Linked DNA regions of Arabidopsis thaliana. The protein of the gene in region 3 interacts with the protein of the main gene of each other region in a pairwise test. Each region holds a gene or a part of one and is shown on either strand. Other genes may lie near its edges. The genes, in order: AT1G76520, FKBP15-1, NAC089 and RABE1c.

The links.
Region 1: the proteins of NAC089 (region 3) and AT1G76520 interact in a two-hybrid assay, tested with the Arabidopsis thaliana proteins (one large-scale study listed by BioGRID).
Region 2: the proteins of NAC089 (region 3) and FKBP15-1 interact in a two-hybrid assay, tested with the Arabidopsis thaliana proteins (one large-scale study listed by BioGRID).
Region 4: the proteins of NAC089 (region 3) and RABE1c interact in a two-hybrid assay, tested with the Arabidopsis thaliana proteins (one large-scale study listed by BioGRID).

Annotation. Positions count from the first base shown.
Region 1 is NC_003070.9:28,711,250-28,720,086, reverse strand, and holds AT1G76520 (Auxin efflux carrier family protein), read right to left. Parts: upstream 5,323-8,837; 5' UTR 4,704-5,322; coding exon 4,566-4,703; intron 4,459-4,565; coding exon 4,379-4,458; intron 4,305-4,378; coding exon 4,180-4,304; intron 4,090-4,179; coding exon 3,968-4,089; intron 3,878-3,967; coding exon 3,728-3,877; intron 3,655-3,727; coding exon 3,562-3,654; intron 3,469-3,561; coding exon 3,368-3,468; intron 3,248-3,367; coding exon 3,009-3,247; intron 2,923-3,008; coding exon 2,798-2,922; 3' UTR 2,177-2,797; downstream 1-2,176. Other genes in the region: AT1G76530 (Auxin efflux carrier family protein), read right to left, coding at 19-272, 373-473, 565-657, 735-947, 979-1,100, 1,194-1,318, 1,391-1,470, 1,546-1,680; AT1G76510 (ARID/BRIGHT DNA-binding domain-containing protein), read left to right, coding at 7,589-7,984, 8,122-8,255, 8,358-8,397, 8,775-8,827. UniProt on the Arabidopsis thaliana protein: Involved in cellular auxin homeostasis by regulating auxin metabolism. Regulates intracellular auxin accumulation at the endoplasmic reticulum and thus auxin availability for nuclear auxin signaling.
Region 2 is NC_003074.8:9,178,787-9,186,416, forward strand, and holds FKBP15-1 (FK506-binding protein 15 kD-1), read left to right. Parts: upstream 1-3,829; 5' UTR 3,830-3,904; coding exon 3,905-3,971; intron 3,972-4,085; coding exon 4,086-4,135; intron 4,136-4,620; coding exon 4,621-4,683; intron 4,684-4,987; coding exon 4,988-5,078; intron 5,079-5,185; coding exon 5,186-5,290; intron 5,291-5,591; coding exon 5,592-5,677; 3' UTR 5,678-5,893; downstream 5,894-7,630. Other genes in the region: AT3G25210 (Tetratricopeptide repeat (TPR)-like superfamily protein), read left to right, coding at 1,562-2,701; AT3G25221 (uncharacterized protein), read left to right, coding at 5,902-6,006. UniProt on the Arabidopsis thaliana protein: PPIases accelerate the folding of proteins. It catalyzes the cis-trans isomerization of proline imidic peptide bonds in oligopeptides.
Region 3 is NC_003076.8:7,373,194-7,380,608, reverse strand, and holds NAC089 (NAC domain containing protein 89), read left to right. Parts: upstream 1-2,832; 5' UTR 2,833-3,110; coding exon 3,111-3,312; exon of another isoform or gene 3,313-3,492; coding exon 3,493-3,746; intron 3,747-3,912; coding exon 3,913-4,143; intron 4,144-4,229; coding exon 4,230-4,565; 3' UTR 4,566-4,770; downstream 4,771-7,415. Other genes in the region: NIT4 (nitrilase 4), read right to left, coding at 785-964, 1,046-1,208; AT5G22280 (peptidyl-prolyl cis-trans isomerase G), read left to right, coding at 5,497-5,652, 6,083-6,337. UniProt on the Arabidopsis thaliana protein: Transcription factor involved in plant cell division.
Region 4 is NC_003074.8:16,913,520-16,921,745, forward strand, and holds RABE1c (RAB GTPase homolog 8A), read left to right. Parts: upstream 1-4,007; 5' UTR 4,008-4,267; exon of another isoform or gene 4,268-4,383; 5' UTR 4,384-4,388; coding exon 4,389-4,461; intron 4,462-4,644; coding exon 4,645-4,717; intron 4,718-4,820; coding exon 4,821-4,921; intron 4,922-5,455; coding exon 5,456-5,521; intron 5,522-5,623; coding exon 5,624-5,721; intron 5,722-5,807; coding exon 5,808-5,870; intron 5,871-5,960; coding exon 5,961-6,053; intron 6,054-6,137; coding exon 6,138-6,221; 3' UTR 6,222-6,499; downstream 6,500-8,226. Other genes in the region: HTB11 (Histone superfamily protein), read right to left, coding at 95-532; RPS15AD (ribosomal protein S15A D), read left to right, coding at 1,372-1,504, 1,584-1,744, 1,912-2,010; AT3G46050 (Galactose oxidase/kelch repeat superfamily protein), read left to right, coding at 2,553-3,665; AT3G46070 (C2H2-type zinc finger family protein), read right to left, coding at 6,926-7,438. UniProt on the Arabidopsis thaliana protein: Involved in membrane trafficking from the Golgi to the plasma membrane.

The DNA.
Region 1 (8,837 bases), on a different chromosome or scaffold from region 3:
TGGTTTCAAGCCATGCACCTAGATTCATGGCTGGTGGGACAGCATACTGAAGAAGAAGAACGAATTGGTACAAGGGTTCTGAGGTTACTAAATCCAACTTGTATGCTCCTCTCACGAGTAAAACACCGCTTACAGGTAGCAAAATGTAACGAGCTACCAAGACGCCGATAATGCAGGAGTTTTTCATTTCTGAACTCCTCACTTCCGACCTCCTCATTCCTTTAAGTAAGTTTCCTCCAAGAATCAGGGTCATAGCAGGAATGGCCCCATCTCTTTAGCCAAAAGAAACAAGACACAGAAAAAGTGAGTTTTTCAAAGAGATGAATCATTTGTTGAGCTACTTCTAAGATAATGAGACTATTCTACAATTACCCCAATAGGGTTAATGAGTCTTGAATCACACGGAAAGGAGCTACGGTGCCGATTATTAGGTTCCTTAAAGGAGTAATAAGCCCAATCACAAGCGCGATAATCTGAGAAAACAGAAGAAGAAGAGATAAGAAAGATATACACTAGTGTGAATGTCTTGAATGTATATAAAAAAGGTGCCACTGAAACACAAACTGCAGCAATAGTTGCTGGAGCAAATATTGACCCAAGGTTGACTTTCTTTGACAGAGAAACAACTCTTTGCTTGACTTCTTCCCACCTCCCAACCTGTCAAACACACACAAAGTCACTGCCAAAATGAATAACACTGATGATGATGATGAAGAGTTGTTGATTAATGAGACCTGATGGTTGTCTTCTTCTTTTTCTTCTTCCTTGGAAGAAATTAGTTGGACTTTGCAGCTGTCATCATAGTTGGATTCAATAGAGTGTGTGTGTGTTTCAACGGGAGAGTTTGATAGCACACGCATAAGATTTATATATAAGTCCATGAGTAAACCGTTCCCGCCTGATACATACCAATTAGTGTCATGTTTATACACACTGATAAAAAAAGCCTTGAAGAGAGACAAGAGAGGAAGAACTAACAGTCATGGACAGTGTAACATAACCCATTCCGTATTTCTCGCAACTCTCAGAATCTCCAAAGGGACCTCCTTTCTCCTTGCAAATGGCTGGGATTATAATGAGAGGCATAGTCCCCAAATTCCCTGTTTTTGGTTTCATTCATCATCACATTCATAAGCAAAACATACGATACAAAGAAAGACAAAAAGATTCTAAAATCATGTCAAGGTTTGTACCAGAAGCACAACAACTAATGATGAGACCACGAAGCTGTGAAGGAGGCTTAGTTATGACAATAACAATCCAGCCGAGTAACGAACCAATCATGAATGTGAGCAGAACATTAACCGGCATAAACCACCTGCAATGCAAATCCTCATTTTCATTATAACAAGTGAGCTTAAAGATGATGCAAAATTTGATATTGACTTACATTTTGACCAAGCTTTCATATGTAACACTATCAGCTAAGCGGCTTCCAATAAGCGAAGGACTAAACACATAGAAGACAATCTATACACAAACAAAAGAGAAATTTAAGTTAACTCTTTTAGATTATTTGTTAAAGAAGAGAGTTAAAAAACGGACGTTGTTCAAATGTTTGCGAGCATCATGACCAAGAAGATTGACTGTGTCGAGAGCCAAATAAAATCCAACTGATGTTATCAACAAAGTCTCCACAACTGGTTTCGATGAAGCTATGAACAACTCCAAAAGCTTCATCTCTACTTCCAAAAGTTAGAATCTGCAAACTTAATCCATATATTACATGATTTGAGATAAAGAAACAATGAACCAAACGACGATAACTTATGGAGAAATCAAATGAAATGGTATAGTTACCTTTTTAGAGGAAGAGTGAAGGAGAGATATAGAGTAAGTATTATTTTTGTTCCGTATGAAAAAACCAACGTATCATAACCACCAACTCTTTATCTGAGAAAAAAAGAATACAAATTATAAGGGAACCATCGTCATGCCTTTAGTCACAGCGACTAGGAAACGTGCCATGTTACTTTGTGGTTCTTGCTGAAGATGTGGATATGTCGCATTGTGTTTACCGTATGGTAAAGAACAATAACGTTGATTTTAAAAAAACTTCTGTTGTTGTCATCTATTTTCTGAAGAATCGTTTCATAAACTAAAATGTTTCAGTACTATAATTTTTGTTTTTCCACAGTTTCACTAGCTACAAATTTATATATTACATATAGTATATCTTGGAGTCTAGCATGCACTTTAGCCCTGATGTGGAAGGTTATACATCAAAATCTCAAATATGACGTGATGAGACATTAATTGATCTTAGAGTACGATTAGGTTTGAGATACATGGACACAGATGTAAAGAAATTTATCACAAAATCCACCAATTAGAGCTTTTTGTCACCACTCTTTTCTCTCATCATTTGTACTCACTTGACTGATATGTAATAGTCTATTAAACCAAATGTAACAATCTGAAATTTTTCTCAGGTGTACCAAACTAAACAAAGGAATAGCTTTCTGCCATGGCCACAGTCACAAGTAGTCAAGTAGATTGTTCTCTGGTTTTACCCTGTTTCAAGAGAGAATGATTTGGGTATCATAACAGAGATTTTAAGCCTCACAATCTCTTGATGGATCCCAAGACAATGAGGATCAAAATAGCAGATTCTTGATGAGGCTGGACTTGATCTTCTATCTGTAAGTTACAGACTGTAAGTCCAAAGTTCGTATCAAAAGACTTATAAGTATATGTTCTCTATTATACTTGATCCAATCATCTGGAAGTCCAAGAACAATTCTTGAATCAATGGAACAAAACAATACATGTAACATGATGAGTATGGGGGTCTATTCTAAGCTACAAGCCACATGAAGAATGTTGGCCAAACAGTGAGTGCAATCGAAGCCAAAGAGTAAGTCCAGAGCATAATCACTGAGCATTCACTCTCCCCAGTTCCAAATAACTGAGTAATTGTACCTGCAAGAGTAAGTGAAACTAATGAAGTGATCTTATCTGAAAGAAGTAACTGTATTTTTTAAAGAGTTGGTTTCAGAGCAATGAACCTAGATTCATGGCTGGTGGGACAGCATATTGAAGAAGAAGAACGAATTGGTATAAGGGCTCTGATGTAACTAAATCCAACTTATATGCTCCTCTTACGATTAAAACACCGCTCATAGGCAGTAAAACGTAACGCGCAACCAAGACGCCGATAATACTGGACATTTTCATTCCTGAACTCCTCAAACCTTTGAGTAGGTTTCCTCCTATAATCATGGTCATTGCAGGAACTGCCCCATCTCTTCAGCCAAAAGAAACAAGACACATAAGAAGCTTTCGAATGAGTGAGTTACGTTTTTCCAAGAGATGATTCATTGTTGAGCTAATGCTAAGATAATGGTCTAATTTTAGCTGCAGTTACCCCACTAGAGTTACTGAGTCTTGAAGCACCCGGAGAGGAGCTTCCGTGCCGATTATTAGCTTCCTTAAAGGAGTAATGAGCCCGATCACAAGTGCAATCATCTGGAAACAGAAGAACAAAAAGGGTAATTAGAAAGATTACACTAGTGTGAGTGACGTCTCAAATGTATAAAACAGAGCCATTGAAACACAAACCGCAGCAATAGTTGATGGAGCAAAAATTGTCTTAAGGTTGACTTTTTGTGACAGTGAAACCAATCTCCGCTTGACTTTTTCCCACCTCCCAGCCTGTCATATACACACAGTCACTACCAACTTTGATAAATGAATAGTTACTGATCATGTGCATATGTGATGAAACCTTTTGGTTGTTTTCTTCTTCCTTGGAAGAAATAAGGGGAACTTTGTAGCTGTCGTAGTTGGATTCAACAGAGGGAGGGGTTTCAACGGGAGAGTTCGATAGCACACGCATAAGATTGTATACATAAGTCCATATGTAAATAGATCCCATCTGATACGTTACCAAGTACTGTCATGAGACATACTGATTACAAAACCTTGAAGAAGAAGAAGACAAAGAAGAAGAAGAAGAAGAACTTACAGCCATGGAGAGAGCAACATAACCCATTCCATATTTCTGGCAACTCTCAGGATCTCCAAAGGGACCTCCTTTTTCTTTACAAACAGCTGGGATTATAATCAGTGGCATATTCCCCAAATTCCCTGTTTTGTTTCATTCATTACCACAGTCATAAGCAAAACACAAGTTAAACAGATTCTGAAATCAGAAACATTCATGTTAAGGTTTGTTACCAGCAGCACAACAACCAAGAATGAGACCACGAAGGTGTGAAGGAGGCTTAGTGATGACAATAACAATCCAGCCAAGTAATGAACCAATGATGAATGTAAGCAGAACATTCACCGGCATGAACCACCTGCAAATCCTCATTTTCATTAACCAAAGAGCAAAGATTACAGACTCAAGATGCAAAATCTGAGATTGACTTACATTTTGACCAAGCTTTCGTATGTAACACTATCAGCTAAACGGCTTCCAATAAGCGAAGGACTAAACACATAGAAGACAATCTATATACACACACATCAAGAAAATGATAACAAAACAGAGACATATTAAAGTTGAATCATTTAGATTTATTAAAGAAAAGAGTAAAATTAAGTGATAATTAACTGACGTTGTTCAGATATTTACGAGCATCATGACCAAGAAGATTGACTCCATCGAGAGCCATATAAAATCCGACTGATGTTATCAACAGAATCTCAACGACTGGTTTTGATGAAGTTATGAACAGCTCCAAAAGCTTCACCATCTTTTTACTATCAACGCGAGAATCTGCAAGTATAAGTTAACTGTAGCAGAGGAAACAGAGAATCAATGGAGCTGCAAGAACCGCCGAAGAAAACAGAGCAATCCAAGAAGGGAATGAATTTTTTAACCGATTTAGAGGAAGAGAGAGATTTATCGTCAGTGGTACAGCTAGATGACAGTGAGAAGCCGCCGTATCAGAACTTTCTCACTCTCTCTCTATGAAAGAGAAAGAGCGTCTCCAAAATTTGGCCTAGTACAACACTTGCATGGTCGCCTCTTCATTCTATTTAAATTCTTGTCTATCCACAAAATGCTTTTTTCAAGAAACTAATCTCTTTATTTGGGGCAAACTTAGAAACTAATCTTTTTAACTAAGGTAAATTATTATTCTATGCATATGGGAAGAGAATTTCATATTTTCATCCTACATATTTTGTATGTACAACTTGGTGTCCGCATGATCCGGGTCAGACTTTTACATCTTCTTTGTTTTTGGAATTGTTTTGTTCCGTATAAGCAACAAAATAACGTATCATAGATTCATAGTTAGCTCCTTTTTGAATTCCAACTTTCACAACTTATGAGTTATGATATATCTCGTAAGTTTATGTCCTTTGATTTTGTATATTTTCCAATTTTTTGTAACCTAGTTTATGTACAAAAAGAAAGAGGAAACAGTTCCACAATTTTTGGAAAACTCAACTCAAGCGGGGTCTTTGTTTGTTTCGTATATTGTCGTATAACACTATTGAGAATAATAAGGCTTTATCTGAGAAGACGAATTTATATGGTAACCGTCGTCATGCCTTTCGTCACATCGACTACGAAACGTGCCCCATGTTTTTTTCTGGTTCTTGCCCAAGGTGTGGAGATATTGCAAAGTGTTCATCGATTGTTGAAGATTTATTATTTATTTTATTTTATATATTTTTTTAAAAAAAACATTTTTCTTTTTGTCATCTATTTTTAAGGGGAATTGTTATAAAAATGTACATTTTCATATGCGTCGTAAGAAATTTGAAATGGAAACAAAACTGAATGAGAATAAGATAATAGTGTGGTGGCTTAAATTAATTGTGTGATGGAAGCGTACCAACGAAACGATCGAATATTAATGATAACGGAAAATTCAAATTAGTGTGTGAGGCTGCGACCAGTGTCCGTCCATAAAATTCAATGCAAGATATAAATGTAACAACCCCAATATCAAAATAGTCGACTAATTCTTACCAAAAAAAAACAATTAGCGAATAATTAGAATTATCATACAGTGCTAAAAATATGTATATATATATATACGAGATACAAATATTTAAGTATATATTGTCAAAGTGCAAATTTTAGTGATTTATTAATGAAAAATACACAATAGACTGGATAATTGTAGAAGTGGGATATATTATACACACTACAATAAAAATCTCTTATGTGACTCGAATCCTATAACTCTTCTCATGTGAAGCAAGAGATATTAGACCATCCTTAATTCCTTATATGTAAGCTTATTGTATATGCAACAAGCCTAATGAAGGCCATGTCATGAGCTATCTTCTTATTTATCTATCTTATTAGAGCATGAATAAACTTGTTTGTATAGGATTTCTACTCACACAAGAGACTTGTGAATATGTATTTTTAAAGAGGTTAATTAACAGTATTTGATATTTCTATGATCTCATAGCTATGAATATGATGATTCAAAGAACGTGAACAAAAGATATCTGTAACAAAAAGAAAAGGACAAAGATATGTCAAATTGAAATGCTCCACTCGTTTTAATGTCCGTGAATGAAAATAACAAACTTGACATATATTGAAAATCTTGATTTGTACTATTGGAAATGTGGGGCATCAAAGACTATTATTCCCTAAAAATAATGGTCCTTAATTCATTAGAATTTTGGACAAAAAGCTTTGCTTAATTCTGTACCATTTTGCTTCGAATGAATATGCTCATACTATTTGTTATCCTTTGGATCCACACCAATTCATTAAATTGCAATTATTTGTCACTTTGACAAGTACTATACCTACATACTGAGAAAATCATCATCACCATAATTGTAAAGTTAATCACGTTAATTATATGCTAGCTAGTCTATAATTAAAGATTCAAACACTATATTTTTTTGGTACAACAAAAACTCTATATTGAACATGAACGCACAATGCTTCGATATTTCTTTCTCTATCTTTAGTAACAAATAAAAACACAACAACAATCGAGACAAGCAGAAACCTACGTTGTCTTCCGTGTTTAATTGGGCCTAAGATTATATTCATAATATACCTTACATATTGAGCCCATAGTTTACAATAATGGGCTTTGTTATGTAAATGGGTCGTAAAAGTCCAACTTTCTGAAATATCATTAATAAGTTTTGCTATTAAGATCTTCGTTAAGAGTTAATACAAGTAACAAGCATTAATTTCTTTCTTAATGAATTCATGTGTTCATTATATCATCCGTATAAATCTTTTGATCTGCATATCTCTCCGTTTAATTGATATCTTTCCGTTTCTCGCTTCTTTTTCTCCGCCGGCGTCCTTCCATTTCGCCGGCTGCTATCGAACCCTAACCCGCGACGACTCCACCGTCTCCGGCGTCTTCTTCTTCCGGCGAAACCGGTAACCGTATCTTTTGTTTCTATGTATGTACTCCATGATTTCGTGAAGCTCTGCTTTCTAATGCTTTAGTCGCCATCACTGTTTGAATTATAGCGAATCAGTGAGAGAGTAGGACTCAGAGTTTTGATGCGTTCCAATTCTCGATTACATGCGTCTTGCATTCTCTCTGGAATTATCAATAGTGCGTTTCTATTTATGATTTCTGGATTTTGAATTCTGCGTTGTTGTTGTGATGCTATGTCTCAGAGAATTAGCTTCATGATGGCGGATACTGAAATGCAAGAGCAAGATGTGCCGTCTGGTACCAAAGGTGTTGTAGAGGAGCCTTCAGAACTAGAGAAAGACCTAAACTCTATTGAAAGACCTAAGTCCCCTGTTCCAGAGGATACGACTCATACTTTGGATAGTGATGTTCATTTATCTGATGCTCCCATTGCTAATCAAATTGAGGCTAATGAAGAGGTTGGTGGTCAGAACAGTGTTGATGGGAGGAATGGTGATGTTGATCAGTCTGAAAAGAAGATTACTAGTGATGGCGGTCAAGAGGAGACAACACTTGGGGAATCAAATCCTTTGAAGGGGGATCCGTCGAGTCCTCATGTTCCTGAAGAAAGTGTTAAGAAGTGGAAGACATGGTTGTTGAGTGATGCTGAGGTGATGAGAGCACTTTTCTGTCACATTTCAGACAACTAGTCTGCCTGCATTTGCGTTAAGCGTTGAATATTGTTTTTTGTGAGATCTGTGGTCATCACAGTGGCTCTATTTCATCACGAGTTCACGTTTTTATACAGGCCAGGGAAGTTGATGAAGCAGGGGCACCACAGGATCAAGAGGCGTTTATTAAAGAAGTGGAGGCCTTCAACAAGGAGAATTTCCTGGAATTTAAAGCCCCAAAGTTTTACGGACAGCCCTTAAATTGTCTCAAGTGAGTTGTTGGAAGTGTTGCTTTAATTCTTGGAAAATTCCATACTTTTGGTTATGCCTTGTTTGACGTGATAACGTCTGCATGCTTTACTTTGAAATGTAGGCTTTGGAGAGCCGTTATCAAGTTAGGTGGCTACGATGTGGTAATGATCTACTTTCGAACTTCCAATGATTTTATGTTTACTAAGATCTTCTCCTCCCTCTTCCCCTTTAGGAGGTTAAAAATCTTTTAGATTATTATCTACAGGTCATGCGATTTATACGTTTTGGGTTGTATAACGTGTGAACTATAGCTAATGAATGAGAAGATGATTTAAGAACAAGGAATGGCTTCCGGAAATAATTAAGTCAATGCAGTTATGTGTTAATTATGTTAGGTCTGTGTTTTGGCAACTGAACTTGCTTAGTGTCATCTACTCTGTTTGAAAGTTTATACTCAAATCTATCCCACCGCCCACGTTGCTTGAAACTCTATGTCTGTGGTATTCAAAATTCCTATGATTTTCATTTTCTTATATAGGTCACCACATCTAAGCTATGGCGGCAAGTTGGAGAATCGTTCCATCCTCCAAAGTATGGCTTG
Region 2 (7,630 bases), on a different chromosome or scaffold from region 3:
AAAGCCACAGACTTGACGATAGGCTTAAGGCATATGGATTTTGAATATAATTAAACCATGCGAGAAGTAAAGATTCGTTTGGCAACCAAAACATATATTCAAAGAATCATAAGAAGAAAATTTATAACCCTAATTCAAAATAGACTATCGATACAGCTTGGTCGATGATTTTTTCACGTTAATTCAAACGATTCCAAACTTTACAAAATCTTACATATATGAAATACAAATCTTAAATACAAACGTATAATCATAAACAGAAAAAGAAGAAAAGAATCATACAAGTGCATAAAAACAAATATAAATTAAGACTTTGAAGGAGATTGATGCAACGAGTCTTCGTTCCTAGATCGTATGGATCCTCATAACGACGACACTTAATGGTCAACACCACAAGGGAAAAAAGACAAGATACGGCGAAAAGTCCTAACGGAATTAAAACTTTGTTGACGAACAATGTATCCATCGTTTGCTTCTTTTGTTTTGTTTGTGTCCTTCTTTTTATGCTTTATATATAACCTACGAAACCTAATGCTAGTTTTTTTTTTTTTTTTTTTCTAACATTACTGATAATTATTGTGAGATTACAAAAGAGTAATCTTTATTTTATTTTTCCTTTTCTAACACCATTGATAATTATTGTGAGATTACAGAAGAGTAATCTTTATTTAACCGCTCTGTATAGTTATAAATTGTAATCAATTTTATTTTATTTTTTATTTAAATTCTTTTTCTTTTTCTAATTGATGTAAGAATTACTTTTATAATGTATCCTTAATCAACATCTAGAATTGTCTTTTTCGGTATTCTGTATTCACTATTATAAATACAGTCTTTAGCATAATCTAAATAACTAATCATTAAAGTAAGTGAAAGTCTCTTTGATATAGTGGTTAACCAAAGGTTTATTAATATTTTTACATCTAGATTTGGGGTTTGAGTTTTAAAAAATAAGATTAATGATGCAAAGCTTATCGAATGTCCAAAATACCACATGTAGAGCTGTTTGTAATGGTTTGAGCGTTGTAGAGAAAGCATGTCATACATACATAATTATGTCCATCACAAGGATGTCATACATACATAATTATTCCTTGAAATCTGAATATTGTGGAATGAGTTGCAGCGTGGAATCGTTGTTCGTAAGAACTGTTCATCGTAATCACATATGCGTAGTTAAGTATCATTATAATAATTAATAAGAATAGATTACATATATAATTCAAAAAAAATCATTAAAGTAGAATGATATAATTGTGAAGAAAAAAAAGTATAAAATAAAATTTTAGTTGAATGAAACTATGTTTGAATTTTATTTTTTTAAAAATCTTTGATTGATTGAATTCAATTTTCGAACCCAAAATAACATATCGTTTAACACACTTTGATATCTTGAATTTTAATTTATATAACTCTTATTTTCTTTCTTTAGTTATTTTTCCCTTATTCTTTTTCCAGTTTATCTAAACAAAAGGTAATTAATTTCAAAATTCGATAAACCCTACTATTTGACATCTTCTACGAACGGGCACACCGGAGAATCAGCTTCTCGTTCCGTACGATGTCGGCGACACTCCGACGCCTCATTCTTCTCACCTCCACAAATCGCTCCCGTAATCTATCTCCGCCGTTTCTTTCCACCGCCGTGAACCACCTATCTCTATCATTCTCTTCCGTCTCATCTTCACCGGAATCACACACTTCCCCTTCCCGGATCCGAACCCGAACACCACTCGAAACTCAATTCGAAACATGGATTCAGAATCTAAAACCAGGATTCACAAACTCCGACGTTGTGATAGCGTTACGAGCTCAATCCGATCCAGATCTAGCTCTCGACATATTCCGATGGACAGCTCAACAACGAGGCTACAAACACAATCACGAAGCTTACCACACTATGATCAAACAAGCAATCACCGGAAAACGAAACAACTTCGTCGAAACGTTAATCGAAGAAGTAATCGCCGGAGCTTGTGAAATGAGTGTTCCTCTCTACAATTGCATCATCAGATTCTGTTGTGGTCGTAAGTTTCTCTTCAATAGAGCTTTCGATGTTTATAACAAAATGCTTCGATCAGATGATTCAAAGCCTGACCTTGAAACTTATACTTTGCTACTAAGTTCATTGCTTAAGAGATTCAACAAATTGAATGTGTGTTATGTGTATCTACACGCCGTTAGATCGTTAACGAAGCAGATGAAATCGAATGGTGTGATTCCGGATACGTTTGTGTTGAATATGATTATCAAAGCTTATGCAAAGTGTCTTGAGGTTGATGAAGCTATAAGAGTGTTTAAAGAGATGGCTTTATATGGCTCTGAGCCTAATGCTTATACTTATAGTTACTTAGTTAAAGGGGTTTGTGAGAAAGGTAGAGTTGGACAGGGTTTAGGGTTTTATAAGGAGATGCAAGTCAAAGGAATGGTTCCGAATGGGAGTTGTTATATGGTTTTGATTTGTAGTTTGTCTATGGAGAGGAGATTGGATGAAGCTGTTGAGGTTGTGTATGATATGTTGGCGAATTCGTTGTCTCCGGATATGTTGACGTATAATACGGTGTTGACGGAGTTGTGTAGGGGAGGTAGAGGGAGTGAAGCTCTTGAGATGGTTGAGGAATGGAAGAAACGGGATCCGGTGATGGGTGAAAGGAATTACAGAACGTTGATGGATGAGGTTTATTTTTTGAATAAGGGATGATTGATTGGGTTCTGTTTATCTGAAAGGCGATCAATCGGCTAAGCTTAAGGGCTACAAGATGGGGGGGGTTTGTTGCAAAGTCTGTGTTCTGCACTCTAGTTAGTGAACCCCAAATCTCAGTAATGATCTGAATCATAAGGGTTATCAAGTTTTGAGCTTCAAGATTCTGTGTTCTTGAGATACATAACAGGTTGAAGCATAGTGTGATTGGAAGACTGAAGATCTCAAGCCATGATAGCTTAGAGATATTCTGTAATTGCAATTTGATTCAAGGATTCAAAATCATGTTGTCTTTGTATCATGTTCTGTGTAAATGAGGTCTTATGACAATCAAGGATATCAATTGTTACTGACACTACTTGCAAACCAAAAGCTGTTCAGCATGATTCTTAACGCCCTTTTGTGTATTATTACTGTTGATGCACAACTATAACATTTGCTGTTACAGGATCTACATTTTCAGACAGGTCACAAGATTCTTATGTTAGCTCAATATCTCATACGAGCATTGGTTACAGTTTATTCTATTTTAATGCTCTAGATATATCTCTTTGTGGTTTTATTGATTCTGACTGGATTCTGCATCTTTATAGGGGATTCTCTTGTTTTTTGGGAAGTCAAAGAAACAGTCCATTATTTCTCGCAGTTCTTCTGAAACAAAATACAAAGCAATGACTCATGGACAATGCTGCAATTATTTCTACTACACATTGCTAAGAATCATGTTTCCCATAAAAGAATTTGAACACATTGTTCTTGAATGCATTAGTTCTGATTTCATGAAAACTTTACATGTTTGTTCTAAAAACTCCATTTTGGTTGGAAGGTTTAAAAATTGATTTGTAACATATATCGTTTCTGGAAGCTTATAAGTTATTAGAAGATGATAATGGTCATAGTTACGTTTTCTAGTTTGTTCAATGACTCTGGAGTACACATTTGTTCATTCAATGAAACTGAAACAAAGGTACAAAGTACAATGTGAATGACTCCGTGATCTGCCGCTTAAAACACGTTAGTTTTTTCTTCTTGGGACACCGCTTGAAAACACGTTAATTAGGTGAATCTGTGGATACACATATGGGCTTAATGGCCCCTATATATAATACGATGATAGGCCCATTACATTTAGTTGTCTTCCACAACAAAAGAGTACCCTGAAACAGATCTTTCGTATAATCAGTGACGTAGAGATCGAAGACGATGATGAGCTCTGCATCCGCCATGAAAGCTGTTGGATTTTTGCTTCTGCTTACCATTCTAACATTAGGTAAATACATCTCTTCTCTTTTTGCGTCTTTTACATCCTTATCGATTTCGATTTGATTCAATCTCATAGATCTGATCTCCGTTGATTTGTGATGATGATGATGATGATCTTCAGCTTATGCGAAGAAGTCAGGTGATGTGACAGAGTTGCAGATTGGTGTTAAGGTGAGACAAAACGCTATTTCCACGTCTATGATCTTATCTACTCCATGTTTGATTCTCTGTGTATGAGTCTGTTCGAGTGACATTGAGTTTGATCTCAATTTTGCGTGATGAGATGATGATAATGGTCATTAATCATTATTACGTAGTTTAATATCAAATTCATTTGAAGTTGGTCTCAATTTTCGTGATTAGAAGATGTTTATGGTCATGATTACGTAGTTTAACTTCAAATTCATTTGGATTTGAGCTCAATTTGCGTGATTAGAAGATGATAATGGTCATAGTTACGTTTTATAGTTTTATTATTACTTACAATCATTCTAGAGCTTTTTCTAGACAGTTTTTTGCAATTTGCATCAAGCTATATACTTGAGTTTTGCATTTGTTTTCGAAATGAAGACATTGGAAATGGATTTGGCTTCTATACTCTTTTGGTTAATGCAGTTTCCTGACCCTTGCATGGAATTGTTGTTTCTATTTTACAGTACAAGCCTCAGAAATGTGATCTCCAGGCTCACAAAGGGGATAAGATCAAGGTTCACTATCGGGTAAGTTTTATTTGAAGCTTCTACTACTACTAGTTGTTTAACTTATTGCTGGGAAGGTTCTTTCGTGCTTGCTTGATAGTATTTTGATTGAGCTAATAGAAGAGCCATGGAAGGGATTTTTTCTTATTGCAACATTTAAGAATGTTCATATAACATCAGGGGCATGGTGAATTGCTGAAAATGTGGAATGAACTTCATTAGTATTTAGTAAAAATGTTGATATTGGATAGCTTAGAACAAACAATAATAATGAATGAATCTGATCTAAAAAATGCTTGGCGAATAACGTAGTTCTCTGTTGCAGGGAAAGTTAACTGATGGAACTGTCTTTGATTCAAGTTTTGAGAGAGGTGACCCTATTGAGTTTGAGCTTGGAACTGGTCAAGTCATCCCAGGTTTGTTGCTATTTCATCGCATCAACTCCATCTTTTTCCTTCGTTATTGTTACCTTTTTTTTGACTGACAAAATTGAAGGTAATGCAATTAATTCGAAATGTTGCAGGATGGGACCAGGGTTTATTGGGAGCTTGTGTAGGTGAGAAGAGAAAGTTGAAAATCCCATCCAAGCTTGGTTATGGTGATAACGGCTCACCACCAAAAATCCCGGGTATGTTATGTTATGAACCTGGCTAGTAGATTGTTTATTTCCGTCCTTTTATCTAATGATGAGGCTAGAGAGAACATTGATACTGAATTGATCAGTCAAATAAAAATTGCTGTACACGTTAAATGACAAACCAATAACGCATTTGTACCGTAAGTGCATCAGAACCAAGAATAGGGAGATAGATACTGAGAGTTGTTGTGTTGTGTAAATTTTCGACCCTAGCTGCATTTGTTAAGAATGTGACATTACAGTTGAGACTAGATGTTCCATGAAATGAGTGTAAGTGGATGGTGAATTGCAGGTGGGGCGACACTGATATTCGACACCGAGCTTGTTGCTGTGAACGGAGAACCATCCAGCGAAGCGAAATCAAAGAATGAGCTTTGATTACACCATAATTGTTTTTCATTTAAAAGGAAACCTTGAGTAGTCATCGATGTTGGCATTTGAATCTTAAACAGCCTAGAATCATTTACTTTGCTAGTTGAAGACAATAATTATATTTTGGTCATAACATTAGTTATGTTGGCAGTTCTAAAATGACAACTTGGCCAGAATAGAACGACGTGCAATCGCAGATAATCAGAAAAACATTGGCCAATTTAGTAAACATGTACAATCTTCCAATTGTTTACGGTGCCCCTCTCTCAGTCCCACGTTGGATCGGTTTTTGGGCTTTTAAGTCTAATTTAGTGAATATTGACCGACCCAATTGAGTTTTTTGGGTTTATTTGTTTGGTTCTGTCTATTGTCATCGAATCCTTTCCTTTAGGGTTTGTTTCTGCATCTTCAATTTGTTTCATAAATCACACATAAACAGGGAACAAGTAAAATACTTCTTTGGTTTTATATTTGTTTTGTTAAGGTTAACCTAACTAGTTTTCCATAAAGAGAACGAGAACTAACGAGTTTGCGCTATATCGATCCTCATTGAATGACTAAGATATCCAATCTTCCAAGGGATTTGGCGGAAGAGGTGCTCTGTAGAATTCCGTTGACGTCTCTGAGAACTGTTTGATCTTCTTGCAAAACGTGGAACACGTTATCCAAATATGAGAGCTTTGCAAAGAAGTACCTTGGTGATCAAGCAAAATTAGCTGCAAAGGAAAGAGAGTTTATGATGGTCGTGATGATGAATTTTAGGGTTTAATTGATGAGAGTCAATCTTCAAAACAAGGTTGAATCATCATGTATAAAACGTGAAGCTAAACTTATTAGTTTAGGCGATGAAGTTGATATATCTCAAGTCTTTCACTGCAACGGTTTATTGTTATTCATCAGCATCACCAAAGACAAGACTAGGCTAGTGGTTTGGAACCCGTATGATTGGGGACATACCCGTACGATCGAACCCACACATAACTGCCACATATTCAATAGGTATAATATATGTATGCTCTCGGATACAACAAGAGCTAGCAGCTAATCCCACAAAATCTTGAGGTTTGTTACTTACTGGATGAGGGTTATGGATGAGTTCATAATCTACGATTTTAACTCTGATTCATGGAGGGTTCTTGATGTCACTCCAGATTGGACGATAAGTTATATGAACCTTGGCGTGTCTCTCAAGGGAAATGCATACTGGTTTGCTACTGAGAGATATTCCGAAACAGACGATTATTTCTTAGTCTGTTTTGATTTCACAAGAGAGACATTTGGGCCTCTTTTGACTCTTCCGTTTGTGTTTGTTAAATCTGAAGATGTTATGTGTGTATCTAATGTTAGAGAAGAGCAGCTTGCGGTTTTATATCAGCCGTGGGATAAATAAAAGATGGAGATCTGGATTACGTCTACGATTGAGCCCAACGCGGTGTCGTGGAACAGCAAGGTGTTCTTATCAGTGAGTATAAGAAAACTCATTGGCCCTCCGTTTCAGTTTTGTTTGGGGAGTTTCTTCATTGACGAGGAGAAGAAAGTCGCTGTGGTTTTTGATAAAGACTACAAAGATAAGCGCAACATAGCTTACATCATTGGAGACTTTGGAGTCGATGGATCCTTTAAAGAAGGGATCTCGGAGAATCAGCCTACGCAATGTGTTACCCACTTATGTGCTCTTATGTTCCAACTTCCAAGTCTAGTGCAATTTAATTAGTCGACCATCTACTTCTTGCATATTTTTGCTCGTTTTTTTTTCCTACCTAACCATCTAGTTCAAACATTATCTTTTGCTAAAGTTGGGAAGTGTGGTGGAAATGTCTTCTCCTTTTTTTTCTTGTAATGAGTCTTGTACGGTGGTGGTTATATCGATCTACGTCGGTTGTGTTCCCCTCGGTGATCTCGACCTCAGCGTAGGTGGCGATCAATGTTGGAAATGAAAATTCCTCCTCTGGATTATCA
Region 3 (7,415 bases):
TGGAGCATCTGTGCCTCCCTTGAATGAAGCTTGTTGTGGAGTCACGGGTGGAGCAACCAAGCTACGTCTCTTGATGAACTGGTCAGATCTTGGTGATGCTACAAGCTCTCATGTAAGAAGGAAGAGGCATCTCCCTCAAAGCAACAAGAACCACCTTGATACCAAAAAAAAACAAGAACCACCTTGGTTGTTTGTTGCAGTTTCTGTTACAGTGTCGTAGTAGAACAGAAGCTGTTTTAAAGACGGCTTTGGTGAGAATTTATTAGATCTTAAGTGTGATAAGCTAGGAGATACGTGTGGTAGCTGAAAAGGAGGTTATGAGACACGTGAATAAGCAAAGAGAAGCATAGAAGTCATGTGAAAAGGAGTTAAAACAGAGCAAGAAGAAACAGATTTTGTAACCTCTTGTCAAGAGAATTGATGAAGTTATGCATGTATTGATGTGTTTTTAACAAACGTATGGTTTTATGGAGGAGAGTTAGGAGATCTCTTGAAAAAATCTCCATTGTTAGGGTAGTTCTTGAGTTTGTATCTTGGAATGAGAAGTGATAAAAGATAAGAGTTCATAGCTTCAAACTTATCAAATGGTGCAGTGAACGTGAATCGAACACGCGACCTAAGTGAATATAAAAGAGGGTTGCCTAGTTGTTCTATGTTGGTAGCTAGTTAGAGAACAATGGATTTATGTGGTAATAAGTGCGTGCCCTGGTATTCATGCTAAGATCCAAAATCGAAAGAAAAAAAGTGAGAACATAATCGGAGATATGGTGGAGGACTTTATTACCAGGAACATCAATGGCAGAAGCATGGTACTTGCGAAAGTCATCTCGTCCTTTAGCGGTACGAGAACCAATAGCCAATTCAAAGGTAGAGCCACGTGGATATCCACCGATGAAAGCCTCCGGGAACACCACTAGCTGAGATCCATTCTCCGCTGCCTCAGAAAGCAGTCTCTCTGCCTTATCTGACAAAATTTCGTGGATAAGGCATCGAAAGCGATCTCACCAACCATAGTGAATCAAAAATCGAGAAAACAGGAACGAACCTAGCGTGGCGGGAGTATCGTAGAAGACTGTAGAGGCTTGGACGACTGTAGCTCGTACGATGGAGGAGGAATCGCCGGCGGACATGTCAATCTCAGGGAAGATTTGATGGCCGTTGGTCTGTGGAGCCGCCGTCATGTGAGACGTTTCTTGTTGCATGGACATGAGAGAATCAGAGAAAGAGAGAGATTCCTTTTTTTTTTGTCAAAGAAGAAAGATTCCAATTGTGTTGTATCTTGTTTACTTGGTTGGTGTGTGTTTAACTTTGATATTATCGTGTATTTTATAAACTCTCTCTTTTTGTGTGTCGATTCTTTTTTAGTGAAGGGAAAAATGGGTTTAAAAAATCCTCATTTTCTCTAAAAACATTTACAATAACCATCACCTATATTGGTATTTATATGCATGCATATTGTACGATGGAGGAAGAATCGCAAGTGTATACGTCAACCACGGGAAAGATTTGATCGATGTTGACCGGAGGAGCCGCCGTGACTAGAGACATTTATTGGTGACTGGTCAGTTTGTCACCAATAAGATATATAGAGGAAATGAGTGATTCTAGTAGTAGTATCTTCTTGATGGGCTTGGTTGGTAGGTGTTTACTTGTACAACACATGATATATATTTTGATTTTTACTCTCTTTTTAACTGTAGGGGGAAATGCCAAAATGTGTAAAAAAATCCTCATTTTTTTCTAAAATCATCACCTATATTTATAGATTTTTTACAAAATTCAAAAGATAAAATACCCCCTCGATAACAAACCAACCTTAAAAACCAAACAAAGCGTTTGTTTATATATTTTGGTTGTTACTTGTTAGCATTCAATATTAATTATTGTTTACTTTTCGAAGGTATGAGGATTAGAAGATTAGATGTTTATCTCTTTTCTTAGTTTTAGACTTGATCTATATCCTTGGATGGTGTTATAAAAGGTATCGAACTCTTTCACGTATCATTAGCTTTTGACTAAAATATTGTTGAAGAGTTCTATTTTTTAGTTCAAAGGCCTATGAAAGGAGGATTTTTAATTCTAAAGAGTTTTGGTATGAAAAAACTCTTAAATCATATTATCGTTATCGATCATTGTTGATCTTGACAAAATATAAATTTGTTGCTGAAATAATTTGGAGAATTTCTTGTTATGATTGTTTATAGTTTCCGTTCATCATCAACTTTAAACTTTTAATTGTACGAGAAACTTTCAAAGTAATTTTTGGATTCACATCACCAAAAAAATTAACAGAACAGAGTTAACCACGTTAATATCACTTTAGTTTTTTTACAAATAATGATTTGAGTATAATTTGATCGTAATTTGTAACCCCATTTCATCATGGAAACAACAATAAAGTTCACTCATACATTTCGTTTTCCCTGTCGTACCTTGACACAGAAACATAGTCCACAGATTTTACTACTAATACTATTTCGAAGACGTACGAGGTTTTACGGAGGGAGATTTGCGAAAATTCACCTTTCTTGTTTAGCTTTTTTGAACATGAGTTTTTGATTAAACTTAACTATATGGAAAGTCTTGTGGAGCAGTTGAAATCCATCAAGAAGGATAAGTTTTCTTGTAATGATAAGTGGTTAACCCTTAAGCTTCAAATCAACAAAAACTTTGAGGTAACGCTTGTTGATTACGAGATCCTGAACAAGATATTTTGGGATATATAATTGTGAGCGATTGATCGATAGTAAGATTTCGGATATATATTGGGACTTTATCTGAAAACACTAAACAATAAGTCGTAAATTGGGAGTACGTAAAAACATTAAGGGTCTAAATGAAATAAAACCTATAATATAACTAGGTTTAGTGACGTGGCATGCACACGTAGATTAAGCAATGCCTTGGCAACACGTATGCAAAAACCCATATGTGTGCACCTGTGAAGTGTTCCAATAACAATTCAAAAGCTCCCTGAGCAAGTGAGAAGAGACCACACTGAGAAGAAAAATCCTTCAGGTTATCGAAAATTCCCGGATTTTACTCTTTGGGCGGTGGCCGATTTCTTACGCGCTCTTTTTGTGGCGACTGTTGTATACGCGCGAGCCTTCATGGACACGAAGGCGGTTGGAGTTTCTAAGGATACGGCGGCGTCGATGGAAGCGTCGACGGTGTTTCCTGGGTTTAAATTCTCGCCGACGGATGTGGAGTTGATTTCGTATTACCTGAAGCGGAAGATGGATGGCTTGGAGAGGTCCGTTGAGGTTATACCGGACCTTGAGATTTACAATTTCGAGCCTTGGGATTTACCCGGTTTGTCTTCGAATTCGAACCAATTGATTCTTTTGTGTCTTTCTTCTACTTGGAATTTGATTTTGTTGTTCTTCAGGCTTCAGGAGAGATCTCTATTTTGGGTGCCTAAGATATAAAGTTTCTATTTTTTGGCTCTTGGATTGGAATTGACAATTTTTTTTGTGTGTTTGTTCTTTGCAGATAAGTCGATTGTGAAATCTGATAGCGAGTGGTTCTTCTTCTGTGCGCGTGGGAAAAAGTATCCACATGGTTCACAGAACAGGAGAGCAACGAAGATGGGATACTGGAAAGCAACTGGGAAAGAGCGTGATGTGAAGTCTGGTTCTGAGGTCATTGGAACAAAGAGGACGCTTGTTTTCCATATTGGTCGTGCACCAAAAGGCGAAAGAACTGACTGGATTATGCACGAGTACTGCGTGAAAGGAGTATCTCTGGTAAAACTGTTCTCGAGAGTTTGTTTTTTCTTATAGATTAATTGTTAACCATTACATAAGAGGTGGTGACTTTGGCTACTTTTTGAGTCTCTAAGAGGAATACAGTAAAATTTTAGGAGTTTTGTCTTTGGCTTGAGTTGATTGATTATGTTTATGTAAATTCTAGGATGATGCTATGGTTGTTTGCCGGGTTAGGAGGAACAAAGAATACAATAGTGGTACAAGTCAGAAGGCACCAAAGCCAAATTCATCAGCCGAGAAGCATGCGAAAGTCCAAAATGGCGCTACGAGTTCAGGGAGCCCGTCTGATTGGGACAACTTGGTTGATTTTTACCTAGCAGGTGAATCAGGGGAGAAACTACTCGCTGAGATGGCAGAGTCATCAGAAAATCTACAGGTTTTGTCACCTGGCTTCTAATTGTTGTATGATGGTTCTTGATTGTTGTCGTTCTTCTTAATGAATGTTATGTGTGTGTGGTTTAGGTGGATAATGACGAGGATTTCTTTGCGGATATCCTAAGAGACGAAATCATCAATCTCGATGAAGCGGTGATGACAGGGAACACACCAAACGAAGTGCCAACACTAGAATCAGCATCAATGGAGATAAGGGTACTTCCTTTACCAAACATGATAGACAAACAAATGTCATCACTGTTAGAGGAAAGACCATCACAGAAGAAGAAAGGAAAAGACGCCACGGAATCATTGTCGAGCTGCTTCGTGGGTTTATACTCGATCAAATCAGTGAACAAGGCACGATGGGATGTTATTATAGGTGTAGTGGCTCTGATAGCAATGTTGTTTTATCTAGAATAAGAGGCTTATGGAAGTAGCGAAAAACAGTGTCCTAGCTATGTTTGTATCATCTTTTCTCGGACATTGACAAGGATTATATGATGTTTTTGTGTAAACGGTTTATGTTTTACACTTCTACTTCAAATCTGTGCAACCAAATCAAAACCTGAAATATCAAGCACAGAAGAACTAGTGGATATAGTTTTTACACTTCAAGGCTTATTAAGTGGTGTGTTTAATGAGAATCAGAGAATGGATAAATGATGGGGGCAAATTAGTAAATGACTATTTTCCAAATCCGTACTGTTTATCTTTCTCGTCCAGATGGTTGTTGCACTAAGATTTGTAGAATTTTCTCGCCGCCATTAAACCTCTGCTTTTGTTTCTTTCTCTCTTCTTCTATACGAGAACCCATTTTGGAGAAGTCAAGTTTCCTCAATACTCCGTCAAGCCGATTTTATTGATCTCGATCAGTTTCGTCAATTTTTCCGGTTTAAGAAACCCTAGAAAAGCTGATGATTCGATAATGAAGTTTGATTTCACTGTGATAAATCGATCTGTAAGTTGGAGATACTTAATCGTCTTCGTTATATCTTCTACGATGCTTCAATTTTGCTTTGTTGTGCTGAGGAAATTCAGTTTTTCTGTAGTATGTGTTATTTGCTTATCCTTAGTAAGTTAGTTACATATGAAGGAGATTCGTATTGAAACCCTAGGTCATTGATTTGATGGAGTTGCTTTTTATAGTATCAGCTTACACTGTTTACATTGTTCTACTTTTGGTTTTTAATTAGAAAATTTGAAGTGAGTAGGTGAATTTTAAGTCGCATCGATCTCATTTTCGATATATGTCTCAATTCGATTAGGCGTGGTCTTTGGATGTGTGTTTAGGATGGTATGAAATGGATTGATTGTGAAATTTGGAACAGGTTTTGTAAGAGCTGAATAGAAAATGTCGAGGCCGATCATGCTAGTCTTTCTTCTGGTTATACTTATAGTCACTTCTCAGTTTGAATGGAGGCAACCACTTCTTGAGCTTGATGCAGCTCCTAGCTTGTCTCAGAAACATCAGCAAATTGCAAAGAGGGAAGAAGCTGTCAAGGAGAAGGTACTTACTTCATTCTTAAACTCTTTTTCATTGAAGTTTTGTGTGTTCAGTTGTATGAGAAAGACCTGAGAATTCGTTTTGGGATTGTGACTTATAGATTAGTACAACTGTAGCAGAGATATGCATAATTGGATAGTGTCAGTTAACTTAGAATGCTCTGATGCTTAAGATTCCTATATCTGCTTCACTTGCCTTTTGAGTCAATCTATAACTATGCCTTAGTAGTTGTGTTGTTGACTTTATCCTCGACATTCTAGTCTCATGAGTCTCTGGACAAACATTCTTTGTAACTGGCTTTCATATCTCTATCTTCTTCTTTTTGAGAATGTCTATGGAATCCATCAATGACTGATCTGAGTTTTTAATGTTGCATAGAAATATTCGGGGTTTTTTTGCCTTCTGTTGTGTTTTCCCTGATTGCATCAAATAGATGAGGTTAGTGGAGAAACATAGACTTATTGGTCTTGCAACCTTAAAGTTCCATTGGATGTATGACGAACCTCATAACTTCAGCATAATTTTGAACCTGAAAATAGAAGAAGACCTGTCAATTCTTAGTTTGTTAATCGTTACAGATCATCTTGTCACAAGAGAGACATATCCAGAGGCTAAACGACCTTGTACGAAGTCTTCAAATGCAGTTACAGCGATGCAAAGGAGAGAACGAGACACGAAACGCCACTGAAACCTCCCATAATAACAAACAGTTCATTGAGCTCGAGAGGAAACACATCGTGGAAGACTAGTATTTCCTCCGGTTACATCAATTCTAATAAATAACCCAAATGGTACGTAAAAACTGTTGTAATTTACTTTTGTTGTGTTAAAAACCTTGCTGATGTTTTGATTAGAAGGATGATTTACTTTATTCACGTGTAAGATTGAGATATTTAAGTACTTGTAATAAAAGTTGAGAATTAGGGTACTTGTAATATCTTTAGTTATGGTTGATTGATTCTATCATTGTCGATGTCTTGGTATAGTCAAACTTTGGTTGTGTGTAGTTAGATTTTTACTTTGACTGATGAGGCTAACGAAAGTCTAAGATGACAAAAGCAATCTTATGTCATATTCTTTCCATGATTTCATCACTAGTCAGAGCCTAAATAAATCTCTTATTAGACACCAACCACAACTCCATATTTGTTCTAAGTCAAACAAAACCAAATCTCCCATGAATTTTCACATACTCATTTATTATTCTTCCATTTTACTATTTGGCATTCTAAAAGTCAATAATATTAACAGTCAAAAGCCATTCATCTGTTTTTGGTCAATCTTTCTATCATTTGTTGGCCGTGCGTCTAGCCGTCAAGCTATCCAAATTCATATTCACCAATACTTATCAATTTTTCAACAATAATTTTCGGTTTATTAAAAAAAGTATCATCATATACGACTTTAGAAATCTAATAATATCAACTACCCATTAAACTACAATTTGTTTTTGTCAACACCGATTTTAACTACATTACAACCTTCCAAGTTTGAAACAAATGCATTGTCTACTTCTTCCCTCTCAATTTGAATTTCGATTTTCATACTAATAATATGATGATTTATGAAAATGGACAAAAATATCTCCTTTGTAATTATCCAAATACTATTTGGTAATAAATGCAATTTCAAAGCACAAGTCATATACTCAATCTTTTGCATACTATTATTTTCAAATTACATTTATTGCTTACAAACACCTCATATTATAATTATTTTCTACAAGAATATTTATTTTGAAAGCTAGATGAAACTAATCCTACTAA
Region 4 (8,226 bases), on a different chromosome or scaffold from region 3:
AAAACGAAACAGAAATCGATCAAAGAGTCAACAACAACCATCAAATCTAAAAAACCCTAATTTTACAAACATCGATTTCAACAAGATCCACAATTCAAGAGCTAGTAAACTTAGTCACCGCCTTAGTTCCTTCAGAAACAGCATGTTTCGCAAGCTCACCAGGAAGAACAAGTCTAACAGCAGTCTGAATCTCCCGAGAAGTAATCGTCGGCTTCTTATTATACCTCGCGAGCTTCGACGATTCCGATGCCAATTTCTCAAAGATGTCGTTGATGAAACTGTTCATAATCCCCATAGCTTTGCTTGAAATACCAATATCTGGATGAACTTGTTTCAGAACCTTGAAGATGTAGATCTTGTACGTCTCAACACTCTTCTTCTTCATCTTCTTCTTCTTATCGCCGCCGGCACCGGCTTCCTTCGGGAGTTTCTTGCCGGCTTTTGGTTTCTTCTCTGCAGGAGCTTTCTCGGCTTTTGATTTCTCCTCTACTGGTTTCTTCTCTGCCGGCTTCTTCTCTGCCTTTGGTGCCATTTTCTTCACACGAAAAAAGTTTCAAAGAAAGATTCTGAATTTTAGAAGATGGAGTCGTGAGATCAAGTTTTGTGTTTGTTGTTTAGACGATTCGGTAGCTCATGTATATATATGACCATGAATTAGATACAGATTGGTTAATTCTCGTTTCACGAGGATTGATGACGTGGAATATATTACGTACCGTTAGATTAGAATAAATCCGTCGTTGGCAGTGAACGGCTAAGCATCTCTCACCTTTTTAAATGGGCCATTAAGCAGCGAATCAAAATTAATTTCGAGTTTTATCTTTTAACGGGCTAAAATGGGCTTAATACCTAAATAATAATCTGTTAGTCCTAGACGTGAATCAGTTAAGAGAATGCCATCAATGTTGATACAAAGTCCATGTTTGGTTACAAATGGGCCTAATTATGTATCAATAATGGGCCTAGTTATGTATTTATAATGGGCTTAGTTATACATGAATCTGTCCCGTGAAAGCGATAAAAGCGAAAACCCTAAAAATAGTTCCGTCTTCTGTTTAATCTCTTTTTCAAGGCCAAGCGAGCAAGAGACGTCGGAGCGGCGGCTACTACTTAGGTTTCAGGTTAGTAATCGCCGGAATCTCCATCTCTCCTCTAATCCGATGAACTGCTTTATTGTTTTGTTGGAACACCGGCTTAGTTAATCTCCCCAATTTGATGTTTCTCCAGAGAATCTAGATTCCAATGTCATTTTCAGAGTGTGTAATTTTTAGGGAATCGAATTCGTTCCCTCTGTAGATGTTTTTATGTACATGTCAATAAGATTCGTGAAGCTGTTGATTTATGTTTTTGCAGTTTTTGAAATTTTGAAGAATGGTGAGAATCAGTGTGCTCAATGATGGTCTTAAGAGTATGTACAATGCAGAGAAGAGAGGAAAGAGGCAGGTTATGATCAGGCCTTCTTCTAAAGTTATCATCAAGTTCCTTATCGTCATGCAAAAGCACGGTATGCTAGTAACTTTGCAGAGCTAGCGTTTGATTCCTGTATACAGTTTTCAAGTGTAATGATGCTTCTTGGTTTTTAGGTTACATTGGCGAGTTTGAGTATGTTGATGACCACAGGTCTGGTAAGATTGTTGTTGAGCTTAATGGAAGGCTGAACAAGTGTGGAGTTATCAGTCCTCGTTTCGATGTCGGTGTTAAGGAGATTGAAGGATGGACTGCTCGTCTACTTCCTTCCAGACAGGTTAGTCTAGAGACTATATAGTAGTGGTACCAATCAATGTTTTAGCTATTGATCTGCTGCCTTACTTTGCTGTTCCTATTATGGTTTAATTGGATGTTTAGTGTCATTACTTTGCCTTACTTTATCTTTCAATGTTACAACTTCATTGAACACTTCTCTATGTGCAGTTTGGTTTCATTGTTCTGACGACCTCAGCGGGAATCATGGATCATGAAGAAGCTAGGAGAAAGAACGTTGGTGGCAAAGTTCTTGGGTTCTTTTACTGAAGCAGGGTCTCGAGATCTATCTTATCGGGTTATAGTTTGGTTCTCTGTAAGTCGATTGACCTCACTGTCAAAGTAGTAGTTTTATATGTTGTGGTCACTCGGATACGTAAAAACTTGGAGATGAGTAGACTAATTAATTTCAGTTTTTGAATTCGTTAGACTTGCGATTTATGAAATCAAAATCATCTTTCTTGACTTATCGTTATATGTGGCATTTACTCATTTTAGTCTCGTGCTCTTCTTGTTTGTTTTCTTAAAACATTTTAATATGTTTTTCATTTACAATGTTCATCAAAATACAAACAAATCTCTGAGGGAACTGTGAAAATTCGAAAAAGATTTTAGAAATACTGACAAAATAAGTTAAAATTCTAAGAAACAAAATTTAATAGTTTTCCTTCCAACAAGGTTTCTATGCTACATAGGTATAATTTTAGGTATTCTTCGTTAATAAATTTGAAGGAAATAACTAATAACGCACAAAAACCCTAAATCAAAAACCTAAGAAGACGTTTACCAGAAACAAAAAAACTAAGAAGACAATGACGACGAAAGAGAAGAATAAATCATCAAACTCACCGCCTCCGACGTCGTTTTCTTCGTTACCGGACGACATCGTTCTCAACTGTTTGGCTCGTGTCTCCAGATTCCATTATCCAACTCTATCCCTAGTCTGCAAGGGTTTCCGATCACTCCTAGACTCCCGTGAGCTCCACGCAACACGATCTTGCATCGGAAAAACCGAGAGTTTCCTCTACGTCTGCTTAGACCTGCATAGGAATTGCTATCCAGACTGTCCTCCACGATGGTTTATAGTTTCCCCGATTACCAAACAGAAACTGAAACCTATCCCTTCGGTTACTTGTCAATCCTCAACCGTTGTATCAATCGGTTCAAAGATTTACATAATCGGAGGCTTCGTTGATGGACATAGTAGCAGGAGATTGATAGTACTCGATTGTCCATCTCATGGATGGCGTAGACTCCCCGAGATGCGTGTACCTCGACAAAACGCAGCAGCTGATGTAATCAACGATAAGATCTACGTGATTGGAGGCTCTAGTTCCAACAATATCGAGGATTGGGGAGAGGTTTATGACCCAAAGACCCAAACTTGGGAGCCAGTATTGCCCACAACACTAGATCTTACTGTTCAAATGAGTGTGGTTCCAGGTAGCTTGGTAATGAGTGGGAAAGTTTATGACATGAATGGATTGAAGCTTAACTTTCAGAAGAATATTTGCTTGGTGGAGATAGAGAACATGATGTGCCAAACAAAGGTTTGTGAAGGGGTGTTAGTTTGGTGTGAACCAGAGGAAGATCGTGGGTGGTGTCCGGTTGATGGACTTGAAGGACTTCCCAATAGGCCAACTTCTCCTGGTTATCTTACCTCGGTGGCACATTCCGACCGAGGAAGAAGAGTAACAGTTTGGTGGGAGTCGGCTGTGTTACATCGTCTAGGTCCCAAATGGACTAAGGAATGTAAAACAGAGATTTGGTGTGCAGAGATTTCGTTTGAGAGACGCGGTGTTGGAAAGGTTTGTGGATTTGTTGAATGGTCTAAGAATGTCTTTACTAAGGATGACTACAAAACTTATAAGTTACCTGCTTCTCTTTCTGATTTCTTCTTGAATTCTACCATTGTGACATATTGATCAATGGAAGTTTATGTTAATTTTTGAGAGAGTTTTAAATTCTTTTGTGGGGATTTTGTTTAGAACATCTTGAGTATAGATTTTATGATAATGAACGAAAATACTGGTGGTGTTTATGTATCTCTAATAAATATGCAGTTGCGTAAGAACATAAACATCAACACACTTCTTATGAAAGAGTTATATATTGTTGAAAAGTATAGTTGTATAGTAGTAGTATATATTTCCAAAGATGACTTCAGATTACATTAGTATACAGTAGTAGTATTTGATACCAAATATAAAAATAAAAATTACTATAGCATTGTTTTAGTCCAGCTAATTGATTTTAAAGTAATTAATAAAAGGCCCATAAGGCTTCGTGCCTTCTTCTTTCTATATAGGCCCTTCAAAAAAGAATCCTTCTCTCTTTTTCTGCGCACTCCTTCGTTTCCAACTAACGTGCGCAGTGTATCCTATCGTGCACGCGAAGCAGACGAAGAAGAAGTAAAATAGAAGAAGCCGGGAAACAAAAGCTAAATCGGGAACTGGCGCATTTTAGTCGTCCGCCATAACCTTCGCTCTCTGATTCTTCCGATTACATCGGTTTTCTTCTCTCTCCGGTACATGATCTTCTTCTTTCCCGCAGCCGATTCATTCGATTTCTCCCTCTTTTGTTTGATCTAATTCGATTTCGATGAAACTCAGATTTTGATCTTTGAGTTTTTGTTTCCTTTAGATTCAATGGCTGCTCCACCTGCTAGAGCCAGAGCTGATTACGATTATCTCATTAAGCTTCTTTTGATTGGAGATAGCGGTACGTTGATCTGAAACCTCTCCGATGTTTTTATCGTCGATCCGTTGAAATTTGTTGAATCTGTTTGATTTCCATTGAATCGATCTATTCCACTGTGATTTTTGTTTGTGATTAGATCGTTGTGTGGATCGGTGTTTGTATTGAGAGATCTCTGTAACCTAAGGTTTTTTTTTTTTGTTGCAGGTGTTGGTAAAAGTTGTCTTCTTCTACGTTTCTCTGATGGATCTTTCACCACTAGCTTCATTACCACCATTGGGTTTGTGTTTTCTCTTTGCTTATGGAGATAAATTGAATTCTGTGATGTTTGTTTTGGATTCTGTTTTTACAGAGTCTTGTTTCTCTATTTTGCTTTGATGTAGCATTGACTTTAAGATAAGAACGATTGAGCTTGACGGTAAACGTATCAAGCTTCAGATTTGGGATACCGCTGGTCAAGAGCGGTTTCGGACTATCACCACTGGTGAGTTCATCTTTTTCATAAGAATTGCTTGCTGGATTAGTACTTAGAGCATTCACAACATCAGTAATGAATCAGATTAGATAGATTCTCGAGGAGATGAACACTTACATGTGCTATGATCTCTTGTACAATGCCACTTGACTGATTTATTTTGTTTGGCTGATTACTTTACTTGGTCTTGTATAGTTGATGTTTATGGGCTATTTTCGACACTTCATAGTTCATCTTTTCGTATAAATGTACTCACTGATCACTTTGCTTAGCATTCACCATCACAATAGAAGTCAAGTTAGAAAGATTGTCAAGATGAGATTGATGACAAACGCCTATAAGTAGTCTAAGATAGCCACTTATAGTTCTAGGTAAAGGGGATGCATTTGTGCAATGCCAATTTACTGATTTGCTCTTTTTGGCTGGTTACTTTTGTAGGTACTGTCTAGTTGATATTATTAGGATATTTAGGCAGTTTATACTGATCTGTTTCTGTTGTTTCAACACCATTTTGACGATTCTTTTTCTCTCGCATTTTCGCAGCTTATTACCGTGGGGCAATGGGCATTTTGCTGGTGTATGATGTCACAGACGAGTCATCCTTCAACAGTAAAACTCCCACCATCAAGTCTTTCACTTACTGGTTTCTATAAATCTCCTTAACCAAAATGAACATCTCTTTTACTAACACGATTCTTGACGTTATTGCAGACATTAGGAACTGGATTCGTAATATCGAACAGCATGCTTCGGATAATGTTAACAAGATCTTGGTAGGGAACAAGGCTGACATGGATGAAAGCAAGAGGGTATGAAGCACACCACCTTTATCCCTGTTCCTTATTCACGACTGATCCTAATAATAATAGCTTCTTGGTCCTGTCAAAATTTTCAGGCAGTACCTACAGCAAAGGGTCAGGCTCTTGCTGATGAGTACGGAATTAAGTTCTTCGAAACAGTAAGTCTAACAATGCTCTCAATCTTCGAAACTAGATGGGTAGTGTTTACATTGCTTACACATCTAGCTATATATGTGTTGTTGTTGCAGAGTGCCAAGACAAACCTAAACGTGGAAGAAGTTTTCTTCTCAATAGGGAGGGACATTAAGCAGAGGCTTTCAGACACCGACTCGAGGGCAGAGGTTTGTTACATCTCTCTCTTTCACATCTTTGCGTTGTTAGGTCTGAAAACGCATTGATCATTCATGTTACGTGGTCAATTGCAGCCTGCAACGATCAAGATAAGCCAAACGGACCAAGCAGCTGGAGCAGGGCAGGCCACACAGAAATCTGCATGCTGTGGAACTTAAAAAAGTTTTAAAAGTGAAGTTTAAGTCGAAAAAAGTTTGGGGGTGAAGTGAAAAACTAAGATATCGTTGGGTGCTTATGTAATTTTTTGTTTTATGCCAACAATTCTGATTCGTTCTTCTAAATTGTCCTTCCTATTTGTACGAAGGTTTAATCGAAACTTGTATTTTTCTTTTCTATTACTGATTTTTTATGACGGTGACTGAATTGTTTATGTTGGTCATCACTTCTCTCTATATATCCTCTGTTCTTAATTTTTCTCTTGCTTCCTCTTTTATCAAGTCTTTAAACATTACTTCTAATACTCGTAAACTCATCTTTGACACAACCATAAGCAATACAAAACCATAATATGTACACTGCCTGATTTATGAGTCGTAAACGTATAATTGTGTTAGCAATCCAGTGATGAAGAAACTTATCATGTTTTAGTTGCACTACAGTTACTATAGCTGACACTTATATTGTAGTTTCAACACCAGTTAAACCATTCTCATAGTTCAACAACATTCTAGGGTTAATAAAACGTGAAACCAAAATTTAGCGAACAAGAAAATAAATCTTGAATAGTATATCAGATTGTATTCAGATCATGTATTCACATCGAATAGTAAGATAAATGGATCAACAAAGACTAAAACCATGTAAAAAGTACTACTCTATGTAAGATTATCAATAAAACTAAAACCCTAACGAACATGAAAAATCAGTACATCGTTCTTCCCAACTCCAATTCCGTGTTGACAAAGCTCTCCACCGAAGTTAAGTCGAAATCCAAACACGCCACTCTCTTCCCACTACTCGATTTCTTCAAAGTCGTCACCGTTGTCGTCTCCGGCATGAAAGAATGCGTAACCAATACGTTAGAAGCCTTTTCTCGTTCTTTCTCGTTCCTATGTTTCCTCATGTGACCACCAAGAGCTTGTCCCATCGGAAACTCCAAGCCACAAATCGGACAAGTATGAGCCGTCGTCGTAGTCGTAGTTTTAGGCTTCTTCTTTGGTGATCCAGGAAGTGATTTATCGTCACTGTTGGTTAGTTTCGAGTGGCTTGCACGGTGGCCTCCTAAAGCTTGGAACGAATCGAAGTCTCTCTCACAAGTCTTGCATCGGAAAACACGTTTCTTTCTTCCGTCGTGTTCTCCAATTCCTGATAACAACATCAGACAGCTCGCCGCCGTATCCACCGTCAGATCACGATTATCACTTTCAGCAACCATGATTTTAGTTTCGAATCGAGCGAGTGACTTTCTAGGGTTTTGTTTTATGCTTGTGTGTGTTGACTCACTCCTCTTATATATAGGAGACTGGATTGAGTAAAGACGGTTTTAATTGACGAAAATACCCTCTCAAGACTTGCTGCCTAAGTTAGTAAAAATTGAAGCTGCGGTGTAAAGATGTACATGTAGAAAATCAGAGTCACCGCTTTAACACTAAAAACTCGGAAAAATGGAAATATTCATTTGTGAAAGAATATATTCTTATTGCTTTCCTCCACTAATTAGACAAATATTGAAAGACGTACTATAACCAGTTTTAATTATTTTTATAAAAAAAACAAGTTTTAATTAATATATAAATATGTATATTATATATAAAAAATATTGTAATTATCTTAATAAATATTTTATTCTAACGCGGTCTCTTCGGGTTCGTGTTCCTTCTTAAGCCGCCTTTTACTATTTGAGATTGGGCAAATCTACTTGGTACGTAACTTATCCGTATTCATTTATCACCAAGAAAAAGAAAAAAACTTATTCATAGTCGACATACTTCTAGAACTTTTTGTTGGTTCGATAGTCAATATTTATGTTCAGTTTATTTGTGAAACTCATGTCCTAGTAATTACACTTACACGCATATTATTCATTTGTATATACTTCGGAATCTTCTGACCTACGTCTTTTTATTCGCAATGATCAATAGAACTCAAGACTTGAGAAGATCATCGTGTCATTATCTAACTAAGATTTTGTCACAGTAACGTACGTAAATGAGGGACAAGTAG